4 linked regions of the Anolis sagrei genome follow. The protein of the gene in region 1 purifies or fractionates together with the protein of each later gene. This does not show direct contact. Links are inferred from orthologs where the notes say so. Each region holds a gene or a part of one and is shown in the gene's direction. Other genes may lie near its edges.

Region 1 (7,562 bases):
GAAACCGCTTTGAATCCCCCTGGGGTGAGAAAAGTAAAAGTAAATGTTTCCTCTTGACATTAAGTCTAGTCGTGTCTGACTCTGGGGAGTGGTGCTCATTTCCATTTCTAAGCCAAAGAGCCGGCATTGTCCATAGACACCTCCAAGGTCATGTTGCCGGCATGACTGCATGGAGTGCTATTACCTTGCTGCTGGAGTGGTACCTATTGATCTACTCACATTTGCATGTTTTCGAACTGCTAGGTTGGCAGAAGCTGGGGCTCACAGCAGGAGCTCACCCTGCTCCCTGGATTCAAACCACTAACCTTTCGGTCAGCAAGTTCAGCAGCTCAGCAGCTCACTGAGGGCACCAAGATGTAGATAAGGACAGTGAAAATGATCAAAAGACTGGAGTAAAAGCTGTGTGAAAATGGTGACTAAGGGGATATGTTTTAGAGGTACGAGGGTTGAATGAAAAGTAATGCCTCCACTTTCGTAACTTCTCAACAGATGGCATTACTGGTATGCAGCAGGTGCTGGCTTGTTCAGTAGACTCTCCTCTACACTTCCATTTTTGTGGGAAGCCTTAGTATTGAACGGTTGTGTTGTTAAAGTGCAAAATATGGAACCCTGCGCAGACGGTCAGTCAATGCGACTTAAGCAACGTGCAGTCATTGAATTCTTGACAGCAGAAGGTGTCACCTCAAAGGAGATTAATCAGCGAATGCAAGCTGTTTATGGTGATTGTTTTGATGGGAGTACTGTGCATCATTGGGCGAGTAAGTTTAAAGATGTCGAGGTGGGAACCTCTGACTTGTGTGACAAACAAAGGGTTGGGACGTCCTGTGACAGCAACCACCAAATTTCACAAGCAACAGGGTGACAGATTGATTCAGGACGATCATCGTATCACTCAGAGAGAAATTTCAAGCATAATCAGCATTTCACAAGAACGTGTGGGTCACATTATTACTTTGCTTGGCTATCGGAAAATCTGTGCACGATGGGTTGCGGAAACAAAGTGTCAACTTCTTCCGTGACGGCTTCAGAAAACTTGCTCATCGTTGGCAGAAATGTATCCAATTGTTTGTTGAAAAGTGAATAGTGGTAGTTAAAGAGGATGATTTCTGCGTTTGATTTATTAAAATATTCCCATCCAAACCCAAGTAATGAAGGTGGAGGCATTACTTTTCATTCAACCCTTGTATATAAAATTAAGTGCAGCAAGGAGAAAGTGGATAGAAGACTGCACCGATTCTTATTATAACCTGTCATATGTTGACATGCATGGGTTAGTTCTTGGACAGATGAGAGGAAGGATTCCTTCACAGAGTGATGTTACGAAAAAATTGCAAGTTTAAGGAAAAAAAAGTCTTGCTGAACCAACATATGTTCACTGTCTCCTTTATTGGTGATGTTCATGCAATATGTTGCTTGTGTAGCCCAAACAATGCCACCTCCAGACAAGCGGGAAATATCAACAGGCATAGGGATTATTTTGTGAATCCCCCGCTAAGGAGGGAAGGGGCCAAAATAGGAAAAAATCCCAAAATAAGCTTGTGAAGATGGGGCGCATCCATTAGCCTGGAATGGCAATGCATTATTAGAGGCAATATACAGGCAGTCCCCAAGTTACGAACAAGACAGCTTCTGTAGCTTTGTTCTTAAGTTGAATTTGTATGTAAGTCGGGACAGGTACATTTTTATAGTGGTAACTCCAGCCATATGTGTGTGTGTGTACACGCGCACACATTTAGGGTCCTGTCTACACAACCATATAACGCAGTCTGAAATGACATATGGCCAGTGTAGGCTCTTATAAGTCTCCCAAGGGCTGAGAAAAGCAGTATATAAATGAAGTAAATAATAATAATAATAATAATAATAATAATAATAAATTATAATGCAGTTCAATGCAGTTAAACTGCATTATATGAGTCTACACCGATCATTTAATGCAGTTTCAAACTGCATTAAATGGCAATGTAAATGGAGCCACGGTCAGAGCAGGAATGGAGAATCATGTACAAGGAAGGAACCAAGGCCTCTTTTGTACTGTCTCAATCCAGATTATCTGCTTTGAACTGGTTTATATGAGTCTACACTGCCATATAATCCTGTTAAAAGGAGACAATCTGGATTTTTATGGCTGTATTGAAGCCCCTTGTACAATGCCATTTAATCCAGATGATCTACTTTGAACAGGATTTTATGAGTCTAAGCTGCCGTATAATCCAGTTTAAACCAGATAATCTGGATTGTATATGGCAGTATAGAATTGGCCTCAGATCCCTTGTAAAATGCCATATAATCCAAATTATCTGCTTTGAACTGGATTATATGAGTCTCCACTACTACACAATCCAGTTTATCTTCTTTGAACTGGATTATATGCGTCTCCACTTCCATTTAATACAATTGATCAAATCAAATAATCCAAATTATCTGCTTTGAACTGGATTATAAGAGTCTCCACTGCCATATAATACAGTTGATCAAATCAGGTAATCCAGTTTATCTGCTTTGAACTGGATTATATGAGTCTCTATTGCCATATAATCCAAATGATCGAATCAATCCAAATTATCTGTTTGAACTGGACTATATGAGTCTCTGTGTAGGTTCAGCTGTACCAGGAGCTCCAATTTTGTTTGCTTTGCATTGAATGTTTGTTGTAGTCCTAAGTTTCAGGGACTCTGCAGATTGGTGGCTTCTTTTGGCTGCAATCATAGGGCAAGCCACCTGTCAATTATTGTTAGGTTCTCTGGTCCCGCCCCCTTTTTGGGTTTTGGAGGGAATAGGAGCCAATTTGGGTTCAGACCACACAGAGAAGCTTTTCATGCAGGACATAATATCAAGAGTTCCTGTAGAAAGCTTCGTCTTCCACGGCTTGGCCGTGGGTTATACAGCCCACAGCTTGGCCGAGGATCATACAGCCCTACAGCTCCTTTGCTGAGGGACTTCAGCCAGCCATCACTGAAACCTGAACTCCTTTTCCCCTGGGGGTCCACAAAGCTCTGCTTGGTAAGGGTCACTCGCGGAAGCCAGAAGCAGTTAGTACCGGGTGCAGGGGCTCCACGCCAACAGAAGCAAAGACAGACTGCCCAGATTAGAAGTTAAGGATTTCCCCATTAGTTACTATACAGTTATGAAGATAGTGCCTGTTCCCTGTGGACAAGATTGAGAGAGAGCCAATAGACTGTTAAGAAAGCCTTAAAGTACCTGTTTGTTTTCAATAATAAAGAACTTTTGTTGAACCTTTAAGCAATCTAAAGACTCTGTTTTAAGGCAATCCAAAGGCCTTTAATCTGAGGCATCCCCGGCATCCCGTTGGGCACATAGAATTTATGTCCTGTCTACAGTCTTATTGTTGGGGTTCAGCCTGATCTGTGTGAACCTGATCTGTGTGAACCTGATTCTCTGATAGTATTTCCAACTGAGCAAGCCACTGAACATGTAGTTTTCCCTGACAATGTGGAAACTGGTGTTAATGCTGAGTTCAGCGGCGGGGAAAACGAAACTGAACAGCTGGATGAAAACGTTTTGGAATCCAGCTGTGATAGCTCTCCACCTGGCTTTTTCAATGAGGACTGAAGGGAACAGATAATGAGAGACAGGAGTGATTCACAATTCCTACGAAGGTCAAATAGATTACAGGAGAGACAGGCTCAGGCTTCAAAATCAAGGGGCGTTTCAAGGAATAGTTTCTTTGGTATAAGGGGCCGCATGCCGGGTGCCTCCTTAGAGCAAGCATCGTTTGGGACCGGCTATGCCTTGGCAGAATTCCTGTGTTCCATGGCCGGTAATCCCAGAGGCTTCTAGTTTTTCAAGTACATGGCTAGCGAGAGGCTAACAGGTTCCTGGTTCTTGTCTTATTTTTTTTTTTGGACTTTTGCTCAAGTTCAGAGATTTTCCTGACTGCTGTGTTTCTATGGTGGCTTTTTGACTTTGCATTTAACTTTCTTTTGTAACCAATTTTCATCTATAATAAAGGATTGTTTTTCCTACAGTCCAGTGTGGTGTATTTAATCTTATGGTCTCGTTTCTTGGTCTGGGATGCAACACTTATGCACAGGCCCAGTGTGTGACAGCACAGTCTCCATTGCCATATACTCCAGATTATCCAATCAGGTAATCCAGATGATCTGCTTTGGACTGGATTATATGGGTCTACACTGACAGATTATATGGCAGCGTGGAAGGAACCAAAGTATGCAACATTGTAGATTTAACATAGTTTGACACTATGGAAGCCCGGGGTTTTGCAATGAGGTGCCACCTTTGGGCAGAGAGATACTCAATGCAGACTATGTTTCCCTGGCAATTAAAGCGTGGTCGCAATTCCCTCTTACTAGCAACTCCAGGCGTTGCTAGGCGACCACGGCTGCCCAATGGGAAGGCAAAGCGGGCAAAGCCTGAGCAGCACGCTCTCCCAAAATGCCCGCCAGGGGGCCGGATGTTTATGTCCTTGTGGACCACGTGACGCCCGGGGAGGGGCGTGGCTGCAGAAAGCAGCATGGGTTTGGCGCAGGCGTGTTGCGGTCGGAGCTGTCAGCTCGGCGGGGAAGCGGAGGAGGAGGGGGCGCCTCGGCGGGACTTCCCTTTCCTCCCTTTTCCTCGGGCCTTTTCCCCTCGCAGCCCGGAAATGGCCGGCCTCATGCCCCCCTGCGTCGTAGACGCCGGCACCGGGTGAGAGGGACCTGCCTTCGCCCCTCTCTCCTCCTCCTTTCTCTTCATTCACCTCCTTTTCCTCTTTCATCTCTTCATTTCTCCCTCTTTCACTTCCTCCACCTCCTCTTCTTCCTTCAGCTCTTCCTCTTTCACTTCCTCTTCTTCCTTTACTTCTCCTTCACTTCATCCTACTCCTTTTCCTCTTTCATCTCCTCATTTTTCCATCTTTCACTTCCTCTTCTTTACTTCTTCCTCCACCTTCTCTTCTTCCTTCAGCTCTTCCTCTTTCACTTCCTTTACTTCTCTTTCACTTTCTCCTTCTCCTTTCCTCTTTCATCTCCTCATTTTCCCCTCTTTCACTTCCTCTTCTTCCTTTACTTCTCTTTCACTTCCTCCTACTCCTTTTCCTCTTTCATCTCCTCATTTTCCCTCTTTCACTTCCTCTTCTTCCTTCACTTCTTCCTCCACCTTCTCTTCTTCCTTCAGCTCTTCCTCTTTCACTTCCTTTTCTTCCTTTACTTCTCTTTCACTTCCTCCTACTCTTTTTCCTCTTTCATCTCCTCCTTTTTCCCTCTTTCACTTCCACTTCTTCCTTCACTTCTTCCTCCACCTCCTCTTCTTCCTTCAGCTCTTCCTCTTCTTCCTTTACTTCTCTTTCACTTCCTCCTACTCCTTTTCCTCTTTCACTTCTTCTTCCTTCACTTCTTCCTCCACCTCCTCTTCTTCCTTCAGCTCTTCCTCTTTCACTTCCTCTTCTTCCTTTACTTCTCTTTCACTTCCTCCTCCTTTTCCTCTTTCATCTCCTCATTTTTCCCTCTTTCACTTCCTCCACCTCCTCTTCTTCCTTCAGCTCTTTCTCTTTCACTTCCTCTTCTTCCTTTACTTCTCTTTCACTTCCTCCTACTCCTTTTCCTTTCATCTCCTCCTTTTTCCCTCTTTCACTTCCTCTTCTTCCTCCACTTCTTCCCCATCTTCTCTTCTTCCTTCAGCTCTTCCTCTTTCACTTCCTCTTCTTCCTTTACTTCTCTTTCACTTCCTCTTCTTCCTTCACTTCTTCCTCCCACTCCTCTTCTTCCTTTACCTTGTCTTCTTTCACTTTCTTTTCTTCCTTTACTTCTTTTTCACTCCCTCCTACTCATTTTCCTCTTTCATCTCCTCATTTTCCCTCTTTAACTTCCTCTTTTGCCTTCACTTCTTCCTCCACCTTCTCTTCTTCCTTCACCCCGTCCTCTTTCACTTCCTCTTCTTCCTTTACTTTTCTTTCACTTCCTCCTACTCCTTTTCCTCTTTCATCTCCTCATTTTTCCCTCTTTCACTTCCTCTTCTTCCTTCACTTCTTCCACCTTCTCTTCTTCCTTCAGCTCTTCCTCTTTCATTTCCTCTTCTTCCTTTACTTCTCTTTCACTTCCTCCTACTCCTTTTCCTCTTTCATCTCCTCATTTTCCCCTCTTTCACTTCCTCTTCTTCCTTCACTTCTTCCTCCACCTCCTTCCTTCACCTTTCCTTTTTCTCCTGTTCCTCCATCTCCTTCTTTTCCTCCTACAACATCTACTCTTCCTCCTGCACCTCCTTCTCCTCTTCCTCCTTCACCTCTTTCACTGCTTCTTCTTCTCCTCATCCACCCTCTCCTCTTCCTTTTCCTCTTCCTTTCTTCCTTTACCACTTCTTTCTCCTTCAACTTTTCTTCCTCCCTCTCCCGTTGTCCTGCTTCACCTCTTCTACTTCCTTCTTCCTCATCTTCTTTCTTCACTGCCTCCACATCTTTCTCCTCTTTCTGCTTCATCTTTTTCTCTTTCATCTCCCTTTCCTCTTTCTCCTGTTCCATTTCCTTCTTTTCCTCCTACAACACCTACTCTTCCTCCTGCACCACCTCCTCCTCTTCCTTTTCCTTCTTCACCACTTCCTCCCCTCTTCCTTCTTCACCTCTTTCACTGCTTCCTCCTCCTCATCACCCTCTCCTCTTCCTTTTTCTTTCTTCCTTTACCACTTCATCTTCCTCCTTCAACTCTTCTTCTTCCCTCTCCACGTGTCCAGTTTCACTTCTTCCACTTCCTTCTTCCTCATCTTCTTTGCCTCCACATCTTTCTCCTCTTCTTGCTTCATGTTTTTCTCCTTCATTTCCCTTTCCTCTTTCTTCTGTTCCTCCATCTCATTCTTTTCCTCCTACAACACCTACTCTTTCTCCTGCACCTCCTCCTCTTCCTTTTCCTCCTTCACTGCTTCCTCCCCTCTTCCTCCTTCACCTCTTTCACTGCTTCCTCTTCTTCTCCTCATTCATCCTTTCCTCTTCCTTTTCCATTTGCTTGCTTTCCTGCTAAAGTCTAACGGATTAGAGAGCTGCGCCAAAACTAACTCTCTGCTATGTAAGAAGGAGATATATAAGATACTTCATCTAGTCTTCATACAAACAAACAAAAGACATGGTTTTCTTCAAATCTGGGGTTCTAAAACAAAAAAAAACACAACAAAAAACCTTCAGATTTGCTCAATAATATGCATTATTTCCCACAATTCCTTTTGTTGTTTGATGTTATAAGGTATGATTGATGTTGTAAGATATAATTGCATAAAATTAGTGTTGTAGGCAGGAAATATTTTTCTCTTATTGCTCTGTATATGCGATGTCAGTCACCAGATGTAAGCTATCCTGGTTTCAGTCAAGACCTATGCCAATAATATCTGCATGTATTTCACTGGTGAATCCAAAATAGATTTGGCAACGGCTTCATTCTTTCATTAATACTTATCCTATATGACTTATAGACATGTCTAGGGTACAATCAGAATATTTTTACAATAATTTCTTACGTGATCCAATAATTATGCTTCTTTTAATATCTACTAAGCAGCCTGATTGTTTCAACACCACTTATGGTTGTATAAATCTCATCTTACGAGTTCCCCTAGTGATC
Region 2 (7,761 bases), on another chromosome or scaffold:
CAGGTGTCTCACCAAACTACAACTCCCATGATTCTACAGGATTGAGCCATGGCAGTTAAAGTGGTCTCAAACTGTGTTAATTCTACAGATTAAATGCACTCTTTGTCTGAGTGGGGATTTGAACCCTGGGTCTCCCAAAGTCCTAGACCAGGGGTGTCAAACTCATTCTTATCAGCCTTATGGTTCAAAGGGTCATTGAATCTATGAATGGAGAATTCGTGGATTTTTTACACAGTGGTCAATGCTCTTTAGTTTTTATCTAGTTAGGTGAGGAAATGTAAAATGATCCCACTTAGAAATAAACTTGTCCAGATGGTTCTTTAGTTTGCATGAACAGTAAAAATTACAGATGTATCAGGGCATTTAGGAAATAGATATCACTTTGTATTTTCTGACAGCAGTTTGGCCTCTAAGTGTACTTTTCATTTATTTGCATCAATTTTGTGACAAAAAGACTTAGTATTTATTTTTCTAGTATTGATTCTAACCCTAGGTGGGAAAACATACCAACTGTTTAACTTTGGTTACTTAGAACATGAGATATTACTTTGCCTCCAGTGTATCTTCAATATAAATACTTAACATATGAGATTTTTGTTGTTGTTGCCCTCCCTTTTCTATCTCCCTTAGAAGTCTCCAGATGCAGAATTTTGCTTTTCCACCTTATAAGTGACAAAATGGGAACCTCATCCTCTCATAAAGGATTGTTCCACCATACTATAGACACAATTTCTTATCAGAAGAGCATGTATCATGGGTTAAAGAGGATCAAGGTGAAAGAGTGACATGTAAAGGATGAACCAAAAGTTACAAAGGGGGTTCAATATTTAATGACTTCTTTATTTTTGTTTTTAATTTACAACACCATATTGTATATGATGTATAGCATCATATACAGTATATATAAGAAATACATTTACATGAGGTGTGAAAAATCAAGTCTCATAAATGGTGTCCAATATCATAGCAATATATACAGTGTATCTATGACCCTTTCGTGGCTTGTAGCCCACCCTGTTCTATTAAACACCAACAAAACACAGCCAGATTGCCATAGGACCTTCTTAACCTTTTCATATTTTTGTACTATTCTTTGCCACTTGCGGAGGTTTATTAAGGAAATGAATGTTGCCTCTTATAAAAGAAGCAATATCCATGCTTTGTCCATTTATTTATATAGCCCAACAGCAACACACATGGTACTCCAATACCTGGCCTTTGCCCAGAGGAGCTGACACTCTGAACTTTGATGCAGGAAAGATAGTAAAAAGAAGGGAATAGCTGCATGTGCTAAAGCTTAGTCACAGTTATTAGGCTACATAGAAAAACCTGGGTTTTTACGATACAATGTAAACAGCCAAAGTCACACTCAGGCCCCCATCTATACTGACAATTTCATGCAGTTTCAAACAACTATTGAAGAAAGTGGTTTTGGTGTGCAGATGATCACATAGGAAATCCTGGAAAACCTTTGAGGCCAGGATGGTGATTACACAAACCAGAGAGCTCCGAGTAAGGGCTTTCTTTCGCACACCTTTTGTGGGTGTTTGTTGTCTGGCTGCCAGTTTGAAGCGAACTGTGATCTGCATTAAATGGTCATTGTAGATGGGGCCACAGTTTCACTGAAAATACAATCAATGTGGTACATTTTGTTAGGACCGCAAAACTGAGGGTCAAAAAAGCATATTTTTAATGTGTGGTTTTATAGGAATTTGACGCTCTTAATTTTAAAAATGACCTCAGATCTGCTCCATCCCTTACTTTCCCCCCAAAATGCTTTGATGTACTTTGTTGAAAAATGTAAATGAAATTAGTATTCAAATCATCACAGACTGAGCATCCCTTATCTGGAATCTTATCTGGGGTACTTTGTGCTTTTCCTGCATGGCAGAGGGTTGGACTAGATGTTCCACGTGGTCTCTTCAAACTCTACTATTCTATGAATGTGTTAATTCTGAAATTCTTCAAAATCAAAAGTTATCCACATGCGTTGTCGAGATAGTAACCCCTTTGCTTTCTGATGGTTCAATGGACACCTATATTTGTTCCTGCACAAAAGTATTTTAAAAATTGTGTATATAATTACCTTTCGGTTATATGTGTATTGTGTATATATGAAACATAAAATGAAGTTCATGTTTCTACTTGGGTCCCATCTCCAAGACTTCTCATTACATATACAAATACAGGTATTTCAAAAACTGAAAAAACACTTCTGGTCATTTTGCATAAGAGCCAATCAACCTGTATCAGAGTTAGACAGGTCTGAGGGATTTCAGATATGGGGAATAACATGGGATTCCCACCTCAGTTGTAATGGTGCTATTTCCCAGCATCCTCAAACAACCAAACATGAAACAAAACTTCTCAGATTTCAAGTACAGTACTTCAAAACATTTAGCTGTTCATGCCATACTTAAGCCCCATCTACACTGACCCATTAATACAATTTAAAGCTAGCTTCAAACTGCAGAAGTCTGACAACAAACTCCCACAAAAGGCTTGCAAAAGAAAGCCCCTTTAATGCACATCAGTGTTCTGTAGTTTGACTAATCTCCTGTCATCATCTGAGCAGCAAAACCACTTTATTACCAGTTTGCAACTGCATTAAATGGTCAGTGTAGATCAGGCCTTAGGGATGCATTTGGAAGTTCACACTTCAGCTTCTAAATTTGCGGTTAACCATGAAATTAGATTTTTTTAAAAAAGAAATAAATGTTTGTTGTGTTTTTCAAATACAGTACTACAATCCTGATGAAAAAAAATGTGCTTTTGCCCATGACAGGCCTTACTTTATAAACTAACCCCAAGTGCATGGTATTAAAATGCAAAGCAACATTATGTAGCAACAGGAATGAGCCGAGGCCACATCAACACAGGACTTTGATCAGGCATGGGTAAACTTTGGCCCTCCAAGTGTTTTGGACTTAAACTACCACGATTCCTAACAGCCTACCAGCTGTTAGAAATTGTGAGAGTTGAAGTTCAAAACACCTGGAGGACTGGAGTTTGCCCATGCCTGGCTTAGAGAACAAGGAATCAAATGTTATGCTGTAAAATGAATGCAGTTTTGCACCAGTTTAACTAGTGGGAGTATGTATTTATTTATTTATCGTGTCAGAAGTGGATTAAGGGTACAGTTATAATGTACTCAAAAAGACACAGTTAAAAACTTGGCATTATGCCAGATTTCCTTTGACCAGAAGCTGGCCACTTGGATTGCCTCTGATGTGGCTACAAGAAGGTCCTCCATTATGCATATGGGAGGCTCAGGTAGCATTGTAGTAGATCATCTGTGGTTTGCTCTTCTCCACACTCACATGTCGTGGACTCCACCTTGTGTTGGCTCTGCACCTTGTGGTGCCAGTCTGTTCAGTGCCTTCCAAGTCACCCAGTCTTCAGTATGCCCAAGAGGGAGTTTCTTATCTGGAATCAGCCACTGATTGAGATGCTGGGTTTTATGCTGCCACTTTTGGACTCTCGCTTGCTGAGGTGTTCCTGCGAGTATCTCTGTAGTTCTTAGGAAGCTGTTTCTTGGTTTGAGGCATTGGCATGCTGGCTGATATCCCAACAGAGGTGGGATGAAGATGTCACTGCCTTGGTCCTCTCATTATTGGCTGCTTCTTCCCAGAGGATGTCAGGTGATGCAATACCGGCCAAGCAGTGCAATTTCTCCAGCGATGTTGGGTGTAGACATCCTGTGATGATGCGGCATGTCTCATTAAGAACCAGGTCTACTGTTTTAACGTGGTGAGATCTGCTCCATACTAGGGGTTGTTTTTTTTTTTTAATTGCGTCAGGAGCAACTTAAGAAACTGCAAGTCGCTTCTGGTACGAGAGAATTGGCTGTCTGCAAGGACGTTGCCCAGGGGACGCCCGGATGATTTGATGTTTTTATCATCCTTGTGGGAGGCTTCTCTCATGTCCCCGCATGAGGAGCTGGAGCTGATAGAGGGAGCTCATCCGCCTCTCCCCGGATTCGAACCTGGGTCTTCAGTCCTGCCAGCACAGGGGTTTAACCCACAGCGCCACCGGGGGCTCTACTGCCAGGGAAACTGTGGAATCCTAGTTTGGTGAGGAACTAGCACTCTTAAGTAGAGAAGGCCTAGCACCTTGTACAACTACAAATCCTATCATTCCATGGCATTGAGCCATGGCAACTACAGTATTGCCAAACTGGATTAATTCTAGTGTAGATGCGCCCAAAAATAAATAAATAAATAAGCTCGAGGGCAACAGAGAATCGGAAGAGCTTCCGCCCCGCCCCCCTCGAGCGCATGAGCACGTGCCTGGCAAGCCAGTGTCCGCGAACGAGGCACATCTGGCGGCGCGTGCGAAGCCACAGGGAGGCCGCAACCAATGGGAGTCCGAGCTCCAAACCAGCTTCGAACGTTAGCCTTGGCCAACGCGCGCGCGGAAGAACTGGCTAAAGCACGCCTGGGCAAATCTGAGCCTTCCCTTTAGGTGTTTTGGGCTTCAACGGCCACCATTCGTAACAGCCTCAGGCCCTTTCCTTTTCCCCCTCAGCCGCTTAAGTGGAAAAGGGAAAGGCCTGAGGCTCTTAGGAATGGTGGCCGTTGAAGCCCAAAACACCTGCAGGGAGGGCCCAAGTTGACCAGGCCTAGGCTAAAAGGAAGAAGCCTTCCCCGCCTGCTTGGCATGCCTGCCAGCCGCGCATGCGCGCTGCTTTCCTCTTCCTCCCTCCCCCTTCCCTTCACGCCACTGCCTTTCCCACGTCCAGGATGTGACGCAGGGTGCCGGCTCGGCGCGGAGGTGGGTGGGGCCCCCGTGGCGGAAGCGGCTGGACTCGGGCGGGTCCCCGGTGCGGCGCGCTTCTCGGCTAGGTGGTGTCTTCTCCCCCCCTCCCCTGCCCCCCGCTCCTCCTCCTCTTCCTCCTTCTTCCCCGCCCGGCTTCCGTACCCCTTCCTCACCTCGGAGCAGCCGTCGCCATGATCCTGCTGGAGGTCAATAACCGCATCGTCGAGGAGACGCTGGCGCTCAAGTTCGAGGGCGCGGCCGCTGGGTGAGGAAGGAAGGAAGGCAGGGGCGGCGGGCGGGTGGGAGGAGTGGTGGCGGCGATGGGAGGAAGGGCGGGGTGGGGCAGGCGTTAGGACAGGGCAGCGAGGCCTACTCGCCTCACTACCTTCTTCTTCTTCTCCCCCCCCCCCCCCCCGCTTGCCCTGCGTTGCCCTCCCCACTGTTTATTCATGTATTTGCATGGCTGACGACTCCAACGTAGGGTTCACCCTTCAGCCTTCTTCCTTTTGGGCAAGTGGGTGTGGGCGGCGGGCCTCCACTTCCTCTCTCACCTTCTGGCGCTTGGGCGCTTCCGGAGCCTCCCTGCGAGGCCCCTAAGTGACTCAGGAGGTTCAGGCTGCTGCTGCCTATCCTCCCACCTCCAAGCTGTCAGGACGGATCTGTGCTTCGGGAGCTTTTGACATCACGTAGTCCTCCTTCAGATCGGGGAGGGGTGCCCTTTTTCCCACTTAGGAATGCAGTTTCACACCGCTTGGAAGTGCCAGGGCCCAGTGCTGTGGTATCACAGGAGGTGTGGCTTTACAGTAGTGGTTCTTAACCTGTGAGTCCCCAGATGTTTTGGCCTTCAACTCCAAGAAATCCTAACAGCTGGTAAACTGGTTGGGAATTGTGGGAGTTGTAGGCCAAAACACCTGGGGACTCACAGGTTGATAACCTCTGTTCTACATACTGAACACTCACATACGCAATGTATTGCCAAAGGCTTTGTTTCTTCCATATGCCTCTTTTATGGGGATATGAAGAGATCTGGTCATTTCTGTGCAATGTATTCCTGGTTAGTCAGTGGAACAGATCACATGAAGGCCCCTTTTCATTTTCTTCAGGGTCCCTTCAACATTAGGTCTGTGCTCTCCACCATCATCTTCCCCTTTCTACTCCTCTAAAGCAGTGCTACTCAACAAGTTGTTCCATGGTCCAATCCTGATCTATGAACCATCTGCACCTGGTCCCTTCTGTTCCCACAGGTTGAGAACCACTGCTATACAGGGTCTTTAGCCTTCCCTGCCAAAGAATGCTGGTGTCACACTAAACTATAAATCCTAGGATTCCATGGCATAAAATCATGGCAATTCAAGTGTTTTTTTGTTTTGTTTTATTCTATTTTTTGTTGGGTAAGAAGCGACTTGAGAAATTGCAAGTCACTTCTGGAGTGAGACATGGCCCAGAGCATGCCCAGATGTTTTACCACCCTGTGGGAGGCTTGTCTCAGGTCCCCGCATGGGAAACTCCCGTCTCACAGACCCGAACCGCTGACCTTCAGATCAGCAGTTCAGCCAGCACAAGGGTTTAGCCCATTGCGCCACCACGGCTTATGCTGTATTAATTCTACAAGTAGATGCAGTCTTGAAGGGTTTAATTGCTGGTTGCCTTCGGGTAACTACAATTTGGAATATTTGGGAGAAGAATTAGGATTTCTTTTCCACATTTTTGATTGCTTGCATATATATTTATGAGATATACTGTAAAAGGACCCATTTCCAATCATGAAATTCATTTCCAATACACATAGCCTGAAAATACAATACTGTATTTTATGTAATTTTGCACATGAAACAATGTTTGTGTCCATCAGAAAACAAAGGTATCACAACCTCAGCCACCCATGTGGACACTTTTGGATTTTGGAGGGTTTCAGGTTTTGGTATTTAAGATACGGGATGCACAGCCTGTGTAGGCTTTTTGGATAGAAGATACCAAGCCAATTGCACCGTGTGTTGCCACTTCCCTAAAGTGCTGCTGTTATTCTTCCTCTTGCCACTCACCAGGAAGTGTCGCTTTCACAGATAGCTGAATTGCAGGCCCTGGCTTTTTGATCAGGGTGTGTTCAGTACATATTTCAAGTACAGGTAAAATTATTTGAAAGTGTTTGAGAAGATAAGCATTCTTACTGCTGTCTGAGAAAGAGAACAGTAAACTCATGCACTTGGAGAAAGGACAGGTAGAGAAAGGGGTGGAGCTCCCATTGGGAAAAATTGAACAAGTGCTTATTAGAGTCTGCAGAAAGAACTGCACAATTATGCTGACAATATTTTTCCCATTGTATATGTTTAACTTGCTGTAAAGGTACGAATTATGGAGCCTTCTGGCTGTTGGGCTAAAAGTCCTAGCAGTAATAATCAACATAATCACTCAGAGAGGAATGCTGGTACTTGCAAACCAATATCATGATAGGGCTGATGTTGAACACTGGATGGTGCTTTCCTCAGACAAAAGGGACCTGTTTCTTATCTTTGACAAGTGACTTATATGGGTTGTATTTTTTTCTAGACTTCTACTTTTCTGTTTCATACTTTTCTGTTTCTACATATCTCCTAGCCGTTTCAAGTAAAAGGAGTCTGTTTTATGTATTTTGTATGTATTCATCCTGCTTGAGATCCATCTATTTCAACATTTTTGAACATTCCCCACAAATAGAGGCCTTCAGCAGGTCATTTCGAAACTGGAACCCATTCTATTTTCTGTGCATTCCTCAAATGTTGTTGTATGTCTTCAAGACATTTCAGACTTATGGTGACCCTAAAGCATAGTCAGTTTGCACAACACACTGTATCCTATCATATGATTTTCTTGGGGGGGGGGGATAGTGGAAAGGGGGTTACGTATGAATTTTTAGTCTCTTTTTTGTTAAATTATTAAAATATATATTTGGTAAAAGTCACATATGAGGAAAAGTGGTTATGTTATACTCATTTGCCCCAAATTGAATAAATAAATAATATGGTT
Region 3 (7,805 bases), on another chromosome or scaffold:
GCAATTTCCCATGGTCTCTGCCACAAGTCTTTTCAAATCCTTCCAGTTTGTGCACATCAACAACCTAAAGCTCATCTGCCGGGCCCACCAGCTGGTCCACGAAGGCTACAAGTTCATGTTCGATGAGAAGCTGGTGACGGTGTGGTCGGCCCCCAACTACTGCTACCGCTGCGGCAACATCGCCTCCATCATGGTCTTCAAGGACGTCAACACGCGAGAGCCCAAGCTCTTCCGCGCCGTCCCCGACTCCGAGCGCGTCATCCCCCCGAGGACCACCACGCCGTATTTCCTCTGAGACCCTCCTCCCATATTTCCCTTCTTCTCTTTCTGTGTGACATACTTTTTATTGAGCACTTTGCTGCTGAAATGCTGCCTCTTGCCTTGTTCTTTTTTATTTTTAAATTATATCTAAATGTGTTGTACATTGTCGTCAGTGACGCGTCTCTTTTCGACCTCCCTCTGCGCAGAATAACAAAAAGCTATTTCCCTTTCCAAGAGTGCTCAGAGCACTTCGCTGTTTTATAATGCTTCTCGATTTCTCTCCATTTTGTTCTGTTTTGATTTCCCTCCCTTTTCCAATAAAATACAAACCGAGCCAGAACTAGTCCGATCTCCTTATTCCACGCGAATATTTATCTTGAGGATAGAGTTTTAAAGAAATTTCAGCAGCAAAGTGGTATTTATGTGCGGCAATGGGACTTTCTAAGTCCATCTAGATATATACGAGGGAACGGTCGTGCTTTATATTTTGCTTTGAGCAGATAGAAATAAGTGGGTTTGAAAAAAGGATGTCGCTTATTTCGTTTTTCCTGTCCCTCGAAGACTTGTTTTTTTTTATGTTTTAGGGTTCCAAGAAAAAGCAAAACACGCTACAGGTATTTGGATTTGTACATTAAAATAATTGCTCTGATTTTTCTCTCAGATACCTTGTATTTTTAATAAAGTCGTATCCAGAAACCCGTGCCTCTGGGTTAAAACGTTGGAAATAAAAACATATGTTGTTGATGGGAATGTCATGGCTTTTCATTTCAAAATTGAGCCATTATTATTATTGTTATTATTAACAAAGATGTATTATTGTTGTTATTATTAACAAAGATATATATTACTTAATACTGGGAAAGGGAAACGCTGCACATTACAAGTGGTGAACCTGACTCAGCACACAGACCAGGGCAAATGCTTGATGTGTCCACTGGAGGGTGGCAAAGGATTACACGTAAAAGTCCTGGGCAGATAGATGGCTATAAAGCTTCAATGGAGGGTCAGAATACCGGGGGGGGGGGGGGGGGGGCGCAAAGCTCGATGTGGAGGCGGGCAAAGGATTGCACATAGGAGTCCTAGGCCAATAGGTGCCTCTGAGGGTTGAATGGAGGAGCCGCTCTCAAACGTAAGTTCTAGGTCTGGATAAGGATTCCACTGTATATAGGCTTCAGGGATACATTCAATAAGAAAAATCATACAAACACAGTAAGCATTTAGTCATGAGGCTCTATGTAGACTGAAGACAATAATGAAGATGGAGCACCACTCTCAAAACAATCTTCATGGAAAAAATCCAAATCAAGTCCAGTGAAAGCACTGCTTCTCAAAATAAGTCTTCAAAGGAAAAGTCCAAATAGCATTCAACAGGGGTGCCCGGGTATTTTTGTACCCTGTTTCGGGGAAAGCAATCCCCTTCCTCAGGAGTTGATAAAGTCAGCAACTCTAGACTCTTATCAATAATAAGAGCCTAGAGTTACTATATTACTCTTATCTATAATAAGAGTAATATAGATATGTCCACTGGTCACCTTATATCTATTTATATATTATTATTTCAGGTTGTTATTCTATATACATAGATGTATATATGCACACATAGTGACCAGAGGACTTATTATTATTATTATTATTATTATTATGTCCACTGGTCACCTTATATCTATGTATTATTTCACGTTCTTATTAATTATATAGTGAGCAGAGGGCTCTATTATTATTATTATTATTATTATTATTATTATTATTATTACTATAATTACTACCATATGCCAGCAAATATGGAAAACACAAGAATGGCCATCAGACTGGAAAAAATCAACTTATATCCCCATACCAAAAAAGGGAAATGCGAAAGACTGCTCAAACTTCCGTACAGTGGCCCTTATTTCTCATCATGCCAGTAAGGTAATGCTCAAGATCCTGCAAGGAAGACTCCAGCAATACATGGAGCGAGAGTTGCCAGATGTTCAAGCTGGGTTTAGAAAAGGCAGAGGAACGAGAGACCAGATTGCCAATATCCGCTGGATAATGGAGAAAGGCAGGGAGTTTCAGAAAAACATCTACTTCTGCTTCATTGACTATTCTAAAGCCTTTGACTGTGTGGATCATAATAAATTGTGGCAAGTTCTTGGTGGGATGGGCATCCCAAGCCCCCTTCCCTCTCTCCTGATGAATCTGTACAAGGACCAAGTAGCAACATTCAGAACTGACCACGGAACAACAGACTGGTTCAAGATTGGGAAAGGCGTTCGGCAAGGCTGCATCCTCTCACCCAACCTTTTTAACTTGTATGCAGAACACATCCTGCGATGTGCGGGGCTGGATGAATGCAAGGCTGGGGTGAAAATTGCTGGAAGAAACATTAACAACCTCAGATATGCAGATGACACCACTCTGATGGCCGAAAGCGAGGAGGAGCTGAGGAGCCTTCTAATCAAGGTGAAAGAAGAAAGCGCAAAAGCCGGGTTGCAGCTAAACATCAAAAAAACCAAGATTATGGCAACAAGAATGATTGACAACTGGGAAATAGAGGGAGAAAATGTGGAGGCTGCGACAGACTTTGTATTTCTAGGTGCAAAGATTACTGCAGATGCAGACTGTGGCCAGGAAATCAGAAGACGCTTACTTCTTGGGAGGAGAGCAATGTCCAATCTCGATAAAATAGTAAAGAGTAGAGACATCAGACTGGCAACAAAGATCCGCCTAGTCAAAGCCATGGTCTTCCCTGTAGTCACCTACGGATGTGAGAGCTGGACCTTAGGGAAGGCTGAGCGAAGGAAGAGAGATGCTTTTGAACTGTGGTGCTGGAGGAAAGTGCTGAGAGTGCCTTGGACTGCGAGAAGATCCAACTAGTCCATCCTCCAGGAAATAAAGCCCGACTGCTCATTGGAGGGAAGGAGACTAGAGACAAAGTTGAAGTACTTTGGCCACATCATGAGGAGACAGGAAAGCCTAGAGAAGACAGTTATGCTGGGGAAGGTGGAAGGTGAAAGGAAGAGGGGCCGACCAAGGGCAAGATGGATGGATGGCATCCTTGAAGTGACTGGACTGACCTTGAAGGAGCTGGGGGTGGTGACGGCCGACAGGGAGCTCTGGCGTGGGCTGGTCCATGAGGTCACGAAGAGTCAGAGGCGACTGAACGAATAAACAACAACAACAACATAATTACTACTTTACTATAAATATACTAATATAATATATATTACTATTATATCATATTATTAATATTACTAATATTGTGATTATTAAGTTCTCTGGTCACCATATATATATATATATATTCCTATTATATCATATTAATATTATGATTATTAAGTTCTCTGTTCATATATATATAATTATTACTATTATATTAATATTACTAATATCATTATTAAGTTCTCTGGTCACCATATATATATTATATTACTATTATATTATATTATTAATATTACTAATATTGTGATTATTATTAAGTTCTCTGGTCACCATATATATAATATTACTATTATATTATATCATATTATTAATATTATTATGATTATTAAGTTCTCTGGTCACCATATATATATATATATATATATATATATATATATATAAAATTATTACTAATATATAATGTCATATTAATATTACTAATATTATGATTATTAAGTTCTCTGGTCACCATATATATATAATATTACAATTATATCATATTAATATTACTAATATTGTGATTATTATTAAGTTCTCTGGTCACCATATATATATATATATATTACTATTATATTATTAATATTAGTAATATTATCATTATTAAGTTCTCTGGTCACCATATATATATATATATAACTATTATATCATATTATTAATATGATTATTAAGCTCTGTTCGTATGTGTGTATATATATATATATTATTATTACTATTATATCATATTATTAATATTACTAATATGATTATTAAGTTCTCTGGTCACCATATATATATTACTATTATATTATATTATATTATATTATAACGGTGCTCCGTGCAGTCATGCCGGCCACATGACCTTGGAGGTGTCTATGGATAACGCTGGCTCTTCGGCTTAGAAATGGAGATGAGCATCAACCCCCAGAGTTAAACATGACTGGACTTAATGTCAGGGGACTAACTTTACCTTTTATTATATTATTTATATTACTAATATTATGATTATTATTAAGTTCTCTGGTCACCATATATATATATTCCTATTATATCATATTATTATGATTATTAAGTTCTCTGTTCATATATATATAAATTATTATTATTATAAAATTATTATTATTACTATTGTATTATATCATATTAATATTGCTAATATTAAAGTTATTATGAGTAATGATAGTAATAGTTCACTGTAGTAAATATTCACCAACCTGCCTTAGAAATGAGAAGCAAGTGGTTGGATTAGGCAAGGCGTGCTGAGGTCACGTGGCTGGGAAGCCCCACCCACTTCTCCCCAGGCTTTGGCCGCGCCCATCCTTTCCCGATTGGCTCTCCCTCTCGCCCCCTCCCCGGCGGGCGGGGTTTCCGTTTCCGGGGAGAATCACCACAGAAGGTCGGTGGCAGCCGAGAGGGAAGGAGGTGCCGCTTTCTCCTCCTCGTCTTCCCTCAGAGGGAAAGGCCTTCCCGAGCAGGCCCCTGGCCATGGCGCGGAACTCGCTCTCCTCTCGCTTCCGGCGCCTCGACATCGACCAGTTCGACGAGAACCGCTTCGTGGAGGAGGCCGACGGGGCCGAGGCCGGGAGCGGGGCCTTGGGGGCGGCCGAGGACGAAGGCGGAGGAGGGCTGCGCGCCGAGGTGGAGGCCGCCCTCAGGCAATATCCTTCTTCCCTTTGGGAGCCGGGTAGAATCGGGCAGGGATGGGCCAAGTTGGTACCTCAGGGTGTTTTGGACTTCAACTCCCACAATTCCTGGCCTCAGCCCTCTTCTTTTTCCCCTTCAGCCACCATGTATATTATATATCAATATGGTGACCAGGGAACTTAATAATAGCCGTAATATTAGTAATATTAATAATTAGAATATGATATAATATAATATAATAGTATTGGTATAATTATTATAATAGCAATTATCGTAATAATATTAGAGCCCTCTGCTCACTATATAATTAATAAGAACCTGAAATAATAAATAGATATAAGTGACCAGTGGACATAATAATAATAATAATAATAAGTCCTCTTGTCACTATGTTTGTATATATACAGCTATGTATATATAATAACAACCTGAAGTAATAATATATAAATAGATATAAGGTGACCACTGGACATAATAATAAGTCACTATATACATATATACACACACACATCTATCTGTATATAAGAACTACCTGAAATAATAATATATAAATAGATATAAGGAGACCAGTGGACATCATAATAATAATGATGATGAGTCCTCTGGTCACTATACACACACACACACACACACACATATCTATCTGTATATAAGAACTACCAGAAATAATAATATACAAATAGATATAAGGTGACCAGTGGACATAATAATAATAAGTCCTCTGGTCACTATGTGTGTATATATACATCTATGTATATAATAACAACCTGAAATAATATATAAATAGATATAAGGTGACCAGTGGACATAATAATAAGTCTTCTGGTCACTCTCTATATACGCACACACACACATACACACACACACACACATCTATCTATATAATAACTACCTGAAATAATAATATATAAATAGTTATGAGCTGACCAGTGGACATAATAATAATAATAATGTCTTCTGGTCACTCTGTCTCTATACACACACATACACACATATCTATCTATATAATAACCTGAAATAATAATATATAAATAGATATAAGGTGACCAGTGGACAGAAGAAGAAGAAGAAGAAAGAAGTAGTAGTCGTCATCGTCGTCTTCTGGTCACTATATATACACACACACACACACACACATCTATCTATATATAATAACTACCTGAAATCATAATATATAAATATATATAAGGTGACCACTGAGCATAAAAATAATAATGAGAACAATGGAATAGACTCATAGAAGCCTAAAGTTGGAAGGGACCCCTCGGCCATCTAGTCCAACCCCCAGCCAGGCAGGAAAAGCACAATCAAAACACCCCTGACAGATGGCCATCCAGCCCCTGTTTCAAAGTTCCCAAGGAAGGAGCTTCTACCAGACTCGGAGGCAGAGAGTTCCACTGTTGAACAGCTCTTACACTCAGGAAGTTCTTCCTAATGTTCAGGTGGAATATCCTCTCCTGTCATTTGAACCCATTGCGTCCACAAGCCTGCTCCCTCTTCCTCAGGACACGCTTTCACATGTTTATCCATGGTTCTCATGTCTCCTCTCAGCCTTCTCTTCTGCAGGATAAACAGACCCAGCTCTTTGGGACACTCCTCATAGGGATTATTCATGGTCTCCAGATCCTTTTAGTTGCCTTCCTCTGGACACCTTCCAGCTTGTCAATATCTCTCTTTAATTGTGGTGCCTAGAATTGTACACAGTGTGATTCCAGGGAAAGAGGTTTAACCAAAGCTGAATAGAGAGGCAGTATGACTTCCCTTCATGTCCTCTGTTTTGTGTGTTTTAGTATGTATTTTGTAGAGGCGCCTTTTGTTGTTTAACTTTTGCGGAAGTACATTTTCCTGTGTGTATTTGTACTGTTGTTGTTTTTGCTGCGTTATGTATTTATTTTAATGATTCTTAACTGGGAATGTTTTAAAATACGATTTCTATTTAATCTTGTTTTCATGTTGGTATATTTGTGTATTTTAAATGGCTATGCTGGAGCTTTTATTTGCTGAGTTCCCTTTGGGGGAAATAAAGTGGGGTAATAATAATAATAATAATAATTCACACCATCAGAGATTTGTAGTTTCTCAATTTGCTTCACACACGATATAATAATAATAATAATAATTATTATTATTATTATTATTTAATTATTTTGTAATAATAATAAATCTTTATATCCCACCTTTCTCCCTCACGTGACCCAAAGTGGCTTACAATATATTAAAATAATGTAAACAACAATCCATATACATTGATAATAAGTATAAAATGTCATAAAATAAGCAGTTTAAAATAATAATATACATTCATATTCTTGCAACCTGGCTCAAGCCACGAGGAGAGGTGGGTAAGAAATAAAATTATTATTATTACAATAGAGTCTCGTTTATCTAACCTTTGCTCACCTAACGTTCTGTATTATCCAACGCAGTCTACCCCTTACCCGCAGAAGCGGCACCTATTGATCTACTCACATTTTTGAACTGCTAGGTTGGCAGGAGCTGAGGCTAACAGCTAGAGCTTTTCTTTTCTACATTTATTTATTTATTTATTTTATTTTAACTATTTTGAGTGTGGGGCAAAGTTTTTGTGCATTGAACCATCAAAAAGCAAAGGTGTCTCTTAGCCAATCATTTGGACAGTTTTGGATGAGGCATGCTCAACCTTTTTTGAAGAGGTTTTGACCTTGGAGAGCAGCCATCGAGTATTACATTCACAAGGGAAATGAATGGGCTGAATCACTGTTAAG
Region 4 (7,996 bases), on another chromosome or scaffold:
CAGAAGCGAAAATGGCAAAAAACTGTCCATGGACAGTTTCTGGCAAAGATTGAGAGCCAAATTGACAAAGAAAAAACGTGCATGTGGCTCACAAATGGAACTCTGAAAAAGGAGACAAAGGAGGACCTGATTCTGGCAGCCCAAGAACAAGTCATTCGAACTAATGCCATCAAAGCCAGAATTGAAAAGTCGACGACAGATCCCAAATGTAGACTCTGCAAGGAAGCAGATGAAACAATAGATCACATCCTCAGCTGCTGCAAGAAGATCGCGCAGACAGACTACAAGCAGAGGCAAAGCACTGTTGCTCAGATGATTCATTGGAACTTGTGCCACAAATACCATCTGCCTGCAACAAAGAACTGGTGGGATCACAAGCCTGAAAAAATTACACATCAAGCTACTCTGGGACTTCCGAATTCAGACAGACAGAGTTTTGGAGCATAATACTCCTGACCTCATGATCATGTTAAAAAAGTGTGGATTATTGATGTTGCAATCCCAGGTGACAGCAGGATTGAAGAGAAACAACTGGAAAAGCTGACACGATATGAGGATTTAAAGATCAAACTGCAAAGACTCTGGCACAAGCCAGTCAAGGTGGTCCCAGTGGTGCACACTGCACACTGGGTGCAGTGCCTAAAGACCTTGGCCTGCACTTAAACACAATTGGGGCTGACAAAATTACTATCTGCCAGCTGCAAAAGGCCATCCTTCTGGGATTTGCACACATTATTCGTCGATACACAGTCCTAGACACTTGGGAAGTGTCCAACGTGTGATCCAATACAACAGCCAGCAGAATGTCTGCTGTGGACTCATCTTGTTGTGTTTCTAATAATAATAATAATAATAATAATAATAATAATAATAATACAGTTTTATGCTGCTTTAACTGTCATGGCTCAATACTGTGGAATCATGGGAATTGCAGCTTTGCATTTTCTACGAGAGTGCTGGGACCTCATCATACTACGACTCCCAGGATTCCACAGCCTTGAGCCATAACACTGAAAGTCGTGCCGAAACTGCTTTAATTCTACAGTGGAGAGATGCACCCTACACTTTGAATAATTTTGCCTTCTTGAAGAATGCAGTTTGCTGTAATCCTTCCTATCCTTTTCCCTCCACAGGAAAATGAGGAGAATAAACCTTCCACTTTTGATGAGTTCTTCCAAGAGCGAGTGGATGAGTGACAAGATTGGGATCCATTTTGAGGAAAGGTATCAAGATCAAATGCATCAAACATCAAATGCAGCCAAGGCAAAGAGATCCCCAGAGGGATCTGCCCCATAGACTTTTTCCCCCCTTGGAGAGTTTACTGTACATACTGAGAGATAAATTATTGTGTTATTTCATTGTTTGATTGCTTCCTTGGCAATAATAAACATGAGAGTATCTGGTCTTCCTATCTGTTTCTTGGTGTGCTTTTGTTAGCTCAGGTGGCGGAAGCAAATACAGAAAAGGCTGCGTTGCCATTGTCACTTGAGTGTGTTAACTTGTTCAGCATTGCTGTCCTTTGCTCTGATTCAGTCTAAGGTAAGGAGGGTGAATGTGTTGCCAACAAGCAACAAGGCATTGTTTGTTTTTGGGGTGTTAGGTAGTATCATTTAGTTAATTAGTAACACTATTTATTAGAAAAAAGCCAGTTTTTATTTGTTTTTTTATTAATGCCCCCATTAGAAAATGCATAAGGATGTGGGTAAACTACAATACCCAAAACTGTTGGTCAGTCCTCCCCAAAACAGGCCTGTATGGTCCAGATCCAATGTTGGCTGGGTTCAGTGCTCTCTGGATGCAGGTGAACTACAAATCTCAAAATCAAGGTTAATTCCCACAAACTCCTGTAGTATGTTCACTTGGTCATGGGGTTTCTCTGTGGTAAGTTTGGTCCCGGTCCATTGTTGGTGGGGTCACTGTTTCTCTGGATGCAGGTGAATTACAACTCCCAGATTCCCAGGGCAATCACTCCCAAACTCTGCCTGTATTCACAGTTGGACATATTGGGTCTATGTGCCAAGTTTGTGGTCCAGATCCATTATGGATGGGGTTCAGAGTGCTCTATATGCACACACCCCCAGCCCCTCCATTATGTTTCGTTGGTCCTCAGGGTTTTGTGCAGCACATGTGTTCCAGATCTGCCATTGGGGGCTTCAGAATGCTCTCTGGGTGCAGGGTGAAATACAACTCCCACACGGGTAGGTTAGTCCTCCCCCAAACTCTTACAGTATGTTCTGTTGGTCATGGGGGTTTTGTGTCCCAAGTTTGGTCCAGGCCCGTCATTCGTGAGGGTTGCAGTGGTCTGTGGAAGTGGATGAAGGTACTGTAAATCCAATCATCCGTGGTCCATCCTTCTGCAAACCGCACCAGGATGTAAAGTGGGTCATGGAGGGGTCTGTGTGGCAAGTTTGGTCCAGATCCATCATTAGTCGGGCCGCAGTGATCTCAGGAACTTAGTAAAGGAACTACAAATCCCATCATCCATGCCAAGTGGGTCCAGATCCATTGTTGGTTGGGTTCACAATGCTCTGGATGCAGGTGAACTACGGCTGCTATAAATCAAGGTCAATTTCCCCCAAAACCTCTTGTTCAGTTGCTGTTTGCTGTGTGCCATAGGAAAGGGATAAGGGAGAGAAAGTGGGCATGGTCATGCAAATTCCACAGCAATGGAAAAAGTAAGGAACCCTGGGATGTCCATTCTGGAGGAAAAAAACAACATCTAGGATGAAATTGTCCCCAAATTGAAGCCTTAACTTGGGTGGTAGGCAGTATGGTGTTTGTGGAGAACATTGGCAGGGGTTGGGAGACATGTTCATGGCACCCACCATAACCTGAAATGTCCTTGGAAGGAGTGCTTTGAGTGGCTCCTCAGCACTGTGGGTTAAATTGGGAGGCTGTGTGTGTAAGGGGACACCCCTGCCACATACACATCAATTTTATCATATGTATAGATAGAAGATTTGTATTGAAACAAGAAACAATACACAAACTCTATACTAGACTGATTGATTAATTCTGTGGCCACTTTGGTATCAGTGCTTCAGGTTTCCCTATCCATGGCCTGGATCACATTATCTGCGGCCATTTAAATTGCTCTATTTCAAAAGTTCACAAGCCTCCTCTGCCCAGAGGGAGCTTCTACAATAGCGAATTAACACAATTTGACCACTTCAACAGCCCTGGCTCAGTGCTCTGGGTGTTGTCGTTTCCCAAGGTCTTGAGCCTCCTCTGCCAAAGGAAGCTCTTACAATACTGAATTAACACAGTTTGACCGGCTAAAATGTCTTGCCTCAGTGCTCTGCAAACCTGGTAGTTGTAGTTTCCCAAGGTCTCAAGCCTCCTCTGCCCAAAGGGAGCTTCGAGACGAGGAGAGCATTGATTCCAGGGCTGGGGAGGCCATGGGGGCCAAGTGGGCCATGTGGCCCAAGCGGCTGCTGGGCCGGCTGTGAAATGCGGGAGTGGAAAGAAAAGACTCAGTAGAGCGAAAGAAAAGACAAGGAAGCAAAAGCTAAGGATAACCCTTTTACTGAAGGGTAAACGACAAGATAACTAATCATATGGGGGGTGGGGGGTGGGGGAGAAGGCTGCAGATAAGTCTCCTGGGCACTGGTAGCTGCTGCTAACCTCCTCCAGACCGCTGATCATTCGCAAAAATTGATTTTTGAAACTAAAAGAGCTCCCGTCACCTGTGGAACTCCTCGCTGCGGTGCCAACTATATCAATATTTTGCTCAAGGGGGAGGGGGGGGGTGTCCTCGACAATACTTTGGAAACTATAACTCCCAGGTTTGCAGAGCACTGAGCCAAGACAGTTGAAGTTGTTAAACTGTGTTAATTCACCACTGTAGAAGGTCCCTTTGGGCAGAGGAGGCTCGGGACCTTAGGAAACTACAACTCCTAGAGGCTGTTGAAATAGTCAAACTGTTAAAGGTAAAGGTTTATCCTGACATTAAGTCTAGTCGTGTCCAAATCTGGGAGTGGTCTCATCTCCATTTTTAAGCCAAAGAGCTGGTGTTGTCCGTACACACCTCAAGGGTTATGCAGCCAGCATGACAGCATGGAGTGCTGTGGGGCTCCTGATTACGCAGAGGGTTAATCCACTGAGCTGCTGAACTTGCTGAACAAATGGTTGGCGGTTTGAATCCAGGGAGCGGGGTGAGCTTCCACTGTTAGGTCTAGATTCTGCCAACCTAGCAGTTTGAAAACATGCAAGAGTGAGTAGATCAATAGGTACCAATTCAGTGGGAAGGCAAGGGTCAAACTGTAAATTTGCTATTGCAGAAGCTCCCTTTGGGTAGAGGAGGCTCGAGACCTTGGGGAACTACAACTCCCAGAGCACTGAGCCAGTGCTGTTGAAGTGGTCAAACTGTACATTTGCTATTGCAGAAGCTCCCTTTGGGCAGAGGAGGCTCGAGGCCTTGGGGAACTACAACTCTCAGAGCACAGAGGCTGGGCCATTGAAGTGATGTGGGCAGAGGAGGCTTGAGACCTTGGGGAACTACAACTCCCAGAGCACAGAGCCTGGGCTGAAGTGGTTTGGGCAGAGGAGTCTCAAGACCTTGGGGAACTACAGCTTCCAAAGCACAGAGCCAGGGCAGTTGAAGTGGTCAAACTGTAAATTTGCTCTTGTAGAAGCTCCTTTTGGGCAGAGGAGGCTCAAGACCTTGGGAAACTACAACTCAGAGCAATGAACCAGGGCTGAAGTGGTCAAACTGTACATTTGCTATTGGAGAAGCTCCCTTTGGGCAGAGGAGGCTCGAGACCTTGGGGGACTACAACTCCCAGGGAACTGAGCCAGGGCTATTGAAGTGGTCAAACTGTACATTTGCTATTGGAGAAGCTCCCTTTGGGCAGAGGAGACTCGAGACCTTGGGGAACTACAAGTCCCAGGGAGCCAGGGAACTCCACGCGGCGCTGAAAGCCAGCGGGCCTCTTCGTGGGCCTTGCTCTCGGGCGCCCCCTCCTGACCAACGAAGCCACTGCCTCCGCTCCTGCCGGGCCCCGCCCTTCCTGCTTTGGGTGGAAGAGGAAGGAAGGCTGGCAGGCAGGAAGGGAGGAGGGCGCGTTTGGCTGCCTGGCGGGCTGAGAAGGAAGAGCCTGTCCTCTCCGGCTCCCATCAAGTGCTTCCCAAAATGCCGGTAAGGGGCAGGGGGGGATGGATCCTTGGGGATCTCAAGTCCCATCGCTTGGGGGTGGAGGTGGAGGTGGATGCTGGGACTCCCAACTGGCCCAAGAGAGCCACTAGCTTCAGACCCAAAGGGGCCCAGACGGGAGCGAGATGGGAGCCTGCCCAATGGCTGCCCTGCTGGAAGCAAGGTTGGGGTGAGGGTGAGGATGATTTTTTGGGTTGGTAGGACTTCTGTAGCACCCAACAGACTTCTCTTTCCCAGGTCTATTTCCCCCCAGCTTGGGACTTTCTGCCCCCCCCCCCCAATATTTTAAATTACTTTTCTGAACACAAAAAGGGCACAAATAAATATACAATAGCAGTCCCTGTTTATACATACACTCAGACATGCTTCACAACCATTGCATGTCAAGCTAGACAACATACATTATAGGTCGAAACTACAGACCTCTCTATTTGTATTTGTGTGTATGTATGTATGTGTATATAGAGAGAAATAGATAGTGGATTTGTTGCTTTCCTTTTTTTTTTTGGTGTCTCTACAATTTTCCCCAAACTGGTTTGCATCCGCTTATTTGAACACTGACAAATACAGATCCCAACATTTTATGCCTCCAAATCCATCCATAAAGCCTTTCCCCTCCCCTATTATATTATATTATTGTTATATTATATTATTATAATATATTGTTATAATATAATTTATATTATATTATATTGAGAGATGGGTAAAAAGGTTTCTTTTAGTAATGTACCCAGTGACCAGCTTGGGGATTTCGGATCTTGAAAACAGCTGGGGATGATGGGAGCTGCTGTCCCCAAGGCCACCTGTCCCCAAAGGCTGTTGTTTCGGGTCTGTCCCAAAAGGCTGGGACTTCAAATGTCAGCCGCGGGGGAAACTTCCTTATATGGTTTCAAGAGGGAAGTCAGGCGACACTGGCTGTCAGGCAAGGCTGATTTTGGGGGGGAAACCAAACAATGGGAGGATTCGAACCCGAATCCCGCAGCACTTGATGGATCTCCACTGTGGGATGGATGTGGTTTGAGACCACTTGAGCCTGGGAGGCGTAGTTTGGAGAGTCAGCCACCCTCTTTGGCAGGCCTTGGAAAACTACAACTCCCAGGATCCCGTCACACTCAGCCATGGCACTCCAAGAAGTGTCGAACTCGAGATTTTTCTGTGTTAGGTGTTATTACTAAAAGGCTATGGCAAAATTGGCTTTGAACAAAAAATCTGACTCGATACCCCAGCACCCCTTGTAATTCTCTTATATTGAGTCTTCTTGGAAAATTGGTTTTGAAGTGCCTTCCATTGTGATGGTAATGCAGCGCCTTCTTGGTTGTGGCATCAGCTTGTCTTGTCTTTCTGTGTTTCTGACTCCAGTCCGAGGCTTATCTGGCTCTCCTTTCCCCATTTCCTTTGTACATCCTTTTTCGAGTATCGCTTTATTGTACTTATGTACCTAGAGTCTTTTCTTCTTATTTATTAGAGTCATCATTACTCTAAATTGTTTTGAAGTCTTGCCACAAATGGCAGAATTAATTGGAGTATTTTTTTTCAAAAAAAAAAAAAGAAAAAATAATAGAGATGACTTTGCTTTGCTCTTGCATTTGCTCCTTAAGATGAATGGCCTGAATCCACTTGATCGGCTGGTAATAGCCGAAATAGAGGCACAGAGGAGTTGAAGTGGCTGGATATATGCCTGGCTTGAGAAGATTGTCTTTCTTGACCTGGTAAAATATTGTCTCTTGACTTGAGAAGATGGGAGTCACAGTCTACCAACATCTTGCATTTCAGGCACTGGCTTTGGGTGCATCTACACTGTGGAAATAATCTAGTTTGGTGCTACTTGAACTGCCATGGCTCAAAGCTATGGAATTCTGGGGTTTCTAATTTGATGAGACAGCAGCCCTCTTTGGCAGGGAAAGCTACCCCAGTTTTCAAACTATAACTCCCAGGATCCAATCTCATTGAGCCATGGCAGTCCAATAGAGCTAAGTAATAGCTCTGTGGTGCTTCTTCAAATAATAACAATTATAAATATTATTATTATTGCTATTATTTCCTGCTTTTATCTCTTGACCGAGATGCCAGGCAGCTCACAGCATGAAAAATCAATGCAATTTAAAATCTACAATGCATACATATTAGAATAGAATTAATCATACAAATCAGTCGTAAGAAATGAACATATCCCTTGTTGTTTCCTGGTGGTATTATTATTATTATTATTATTATTGTTATTATTATTTCCTGCTTTTATCTCTTGACTGAGACGCCAGGCGGGTCACAACTTGACAAAACTATGCAATTTAAAATCTACGACATGTAAATATTATAATTTTATTTATCATATCAGGAGCAAACCAAGGGTACCATTGTAATGTATTTATAAACACACACACACACACAATTTAGAATCTTGGCAGTATATGAATGTCCTTTGACCAGTACCTGGCCACTTGGAGTGCCCTTGGTGTTGCTATGAGAAGGTCCTCCATTGTGCATGTGGCAGGGCTCAGACTGCATTGTAATAGGTGGTCTGTGGTTTTCTCTTCTCCACACTCACATGTCGTGGACTCCATTTTGTGGCCCCATTTCTTAAGGTTGGCTCTGCCTCTCGTGGTTCAGGAGCACAGTCTGTTCAGCGCCTTCCAAGTCGCCCAGTCTTCTGTGTGCCCAGAAGGGAGTCTCTCCTTTGGTATCAGCCATGGATTTTAGCCTGCCACTTTTGGACTCTTGCTTGCTGAGGTGTTCCTGCGAGTATCTCTGTAGATCTTCGAAAACTATTTCTTGATTTAAGGTGTTTGCATGTTGGCTGATATCCAAACAGGGGATGGGCCAGAGATGTCATTGCCTTTGTCCTTT

What was found.
Region 2: the proteins of ACTR3B (region 1) and ARPC2 purify together in Homo sapiens (affinity purification with mass spectrometry; 6 studies listed by BioGRID and IntAct, counting the BioPlex papers as one, with this or other methods). This does not show direct contact. The link is inferred for Anolis sagrei from reciprocal best matches to the Homo sapiens genes ACTR3B and ARPC2.
Region 3: the proteins of ACTR3B (region 1) and ARPC5L purify together in Homo sapiens (affinity purification with mass spectrometry; 3 studies listed by BioGRID and IntAct, counting the BioPlex papers as one, with this or other methods). This does not show direct contact. The link is inferred for Anolis sagrei from reciprocal best matches to the Homo sapiens genes ACTR3B and ARPC5L.
Region 4: the proteins of ACTR3B (region 1) and ARPC3 purify together in Homo sapiens (affinity purification with mass spectrometry; 6 studies listed by BioGRID and IntAct, counting the BioPlex papers as one, with this or other methods). This does not show direct contact. The link is inferred for Anolis sagrei from reciprocal best matches to the Homo sapiens genes ACTR3B and ARPC3.

The regions. Positions count from the first base shown.
Region 1 is NC_090026.1:121,572,225-121,579,786, reverse strand, and holds the start of ACTR3B (actin-related protein 3B), read left to right. Parts: upstream 1-4,548; 5' UTR 4,549-4,624; coding exon 4,625-4,668; intron 4,669-7,562. UniProt on the Homo sapiens protein: Plays a role in the organization of the actin cytoskeleton.
Region 2 is NC_090021.1:228,567,080-228,574,840, forward strand, and holds the start of ARPC2 (actin-related protein 2/3 complex subunit 2), read left to right. Parts: upstream 1-4,760; 5' UTR 4,761-4,949; coding exon 4,950-5,023; intron 5,024-5,309; exon of another isoform or gene 5,310-5,485; intron 5,486-7,761. UniProt on the Homo sapiens protein: Actin-binding component of the Arp2/3 complex, a multiprotein complex that mediates actin polymerization upon stimulation by nucleation-promoting factor (NPF).
Region 3 is NC_090031.1:6,399,371-6,407,175, reverse strand, and holds the start of ARPC5L (actin-related protein 2/3 complex subunit 5-like protein), read left to right. Parts: upstream 1-4,787; 5' UTR 4,788-4,902; coding exon 4,903-5,075; intron 5,076-7,805. Other genes in the region: PPP6C (serine/threonine-protein phosphatase 6 catalytic subunit), read left to right, coding at 47-295. UniProt on the Homo sapiens protein: May function as component of the Arp2/3 complex which is involved in regulation of actin polymerization and together with an activating nucleation-promoting factor (NPF) mediates the formation of branched actin networks.
Region 4 is NC_090034.1:42,367,083-42,375,078, forward strand, and holds the start of ARPC3 (actin-related protein 2/3 complex subunit 3), read left to right. Parts: upstream 1-4,981; 5' UTR 4,982-5,131; coding exon 5,132-5,137; intron 5,138-7,996. Other genes in the region: GPN3 (GPN-loop GTPase 3), read left to right, coding at 1,134-1,196. UniProt on the Homo sapiens protein: Component of the Arp2/3 complex, a multiprotein complex that mediates actin polymerization upon stimulation by nucleation-promoting factor (NPF).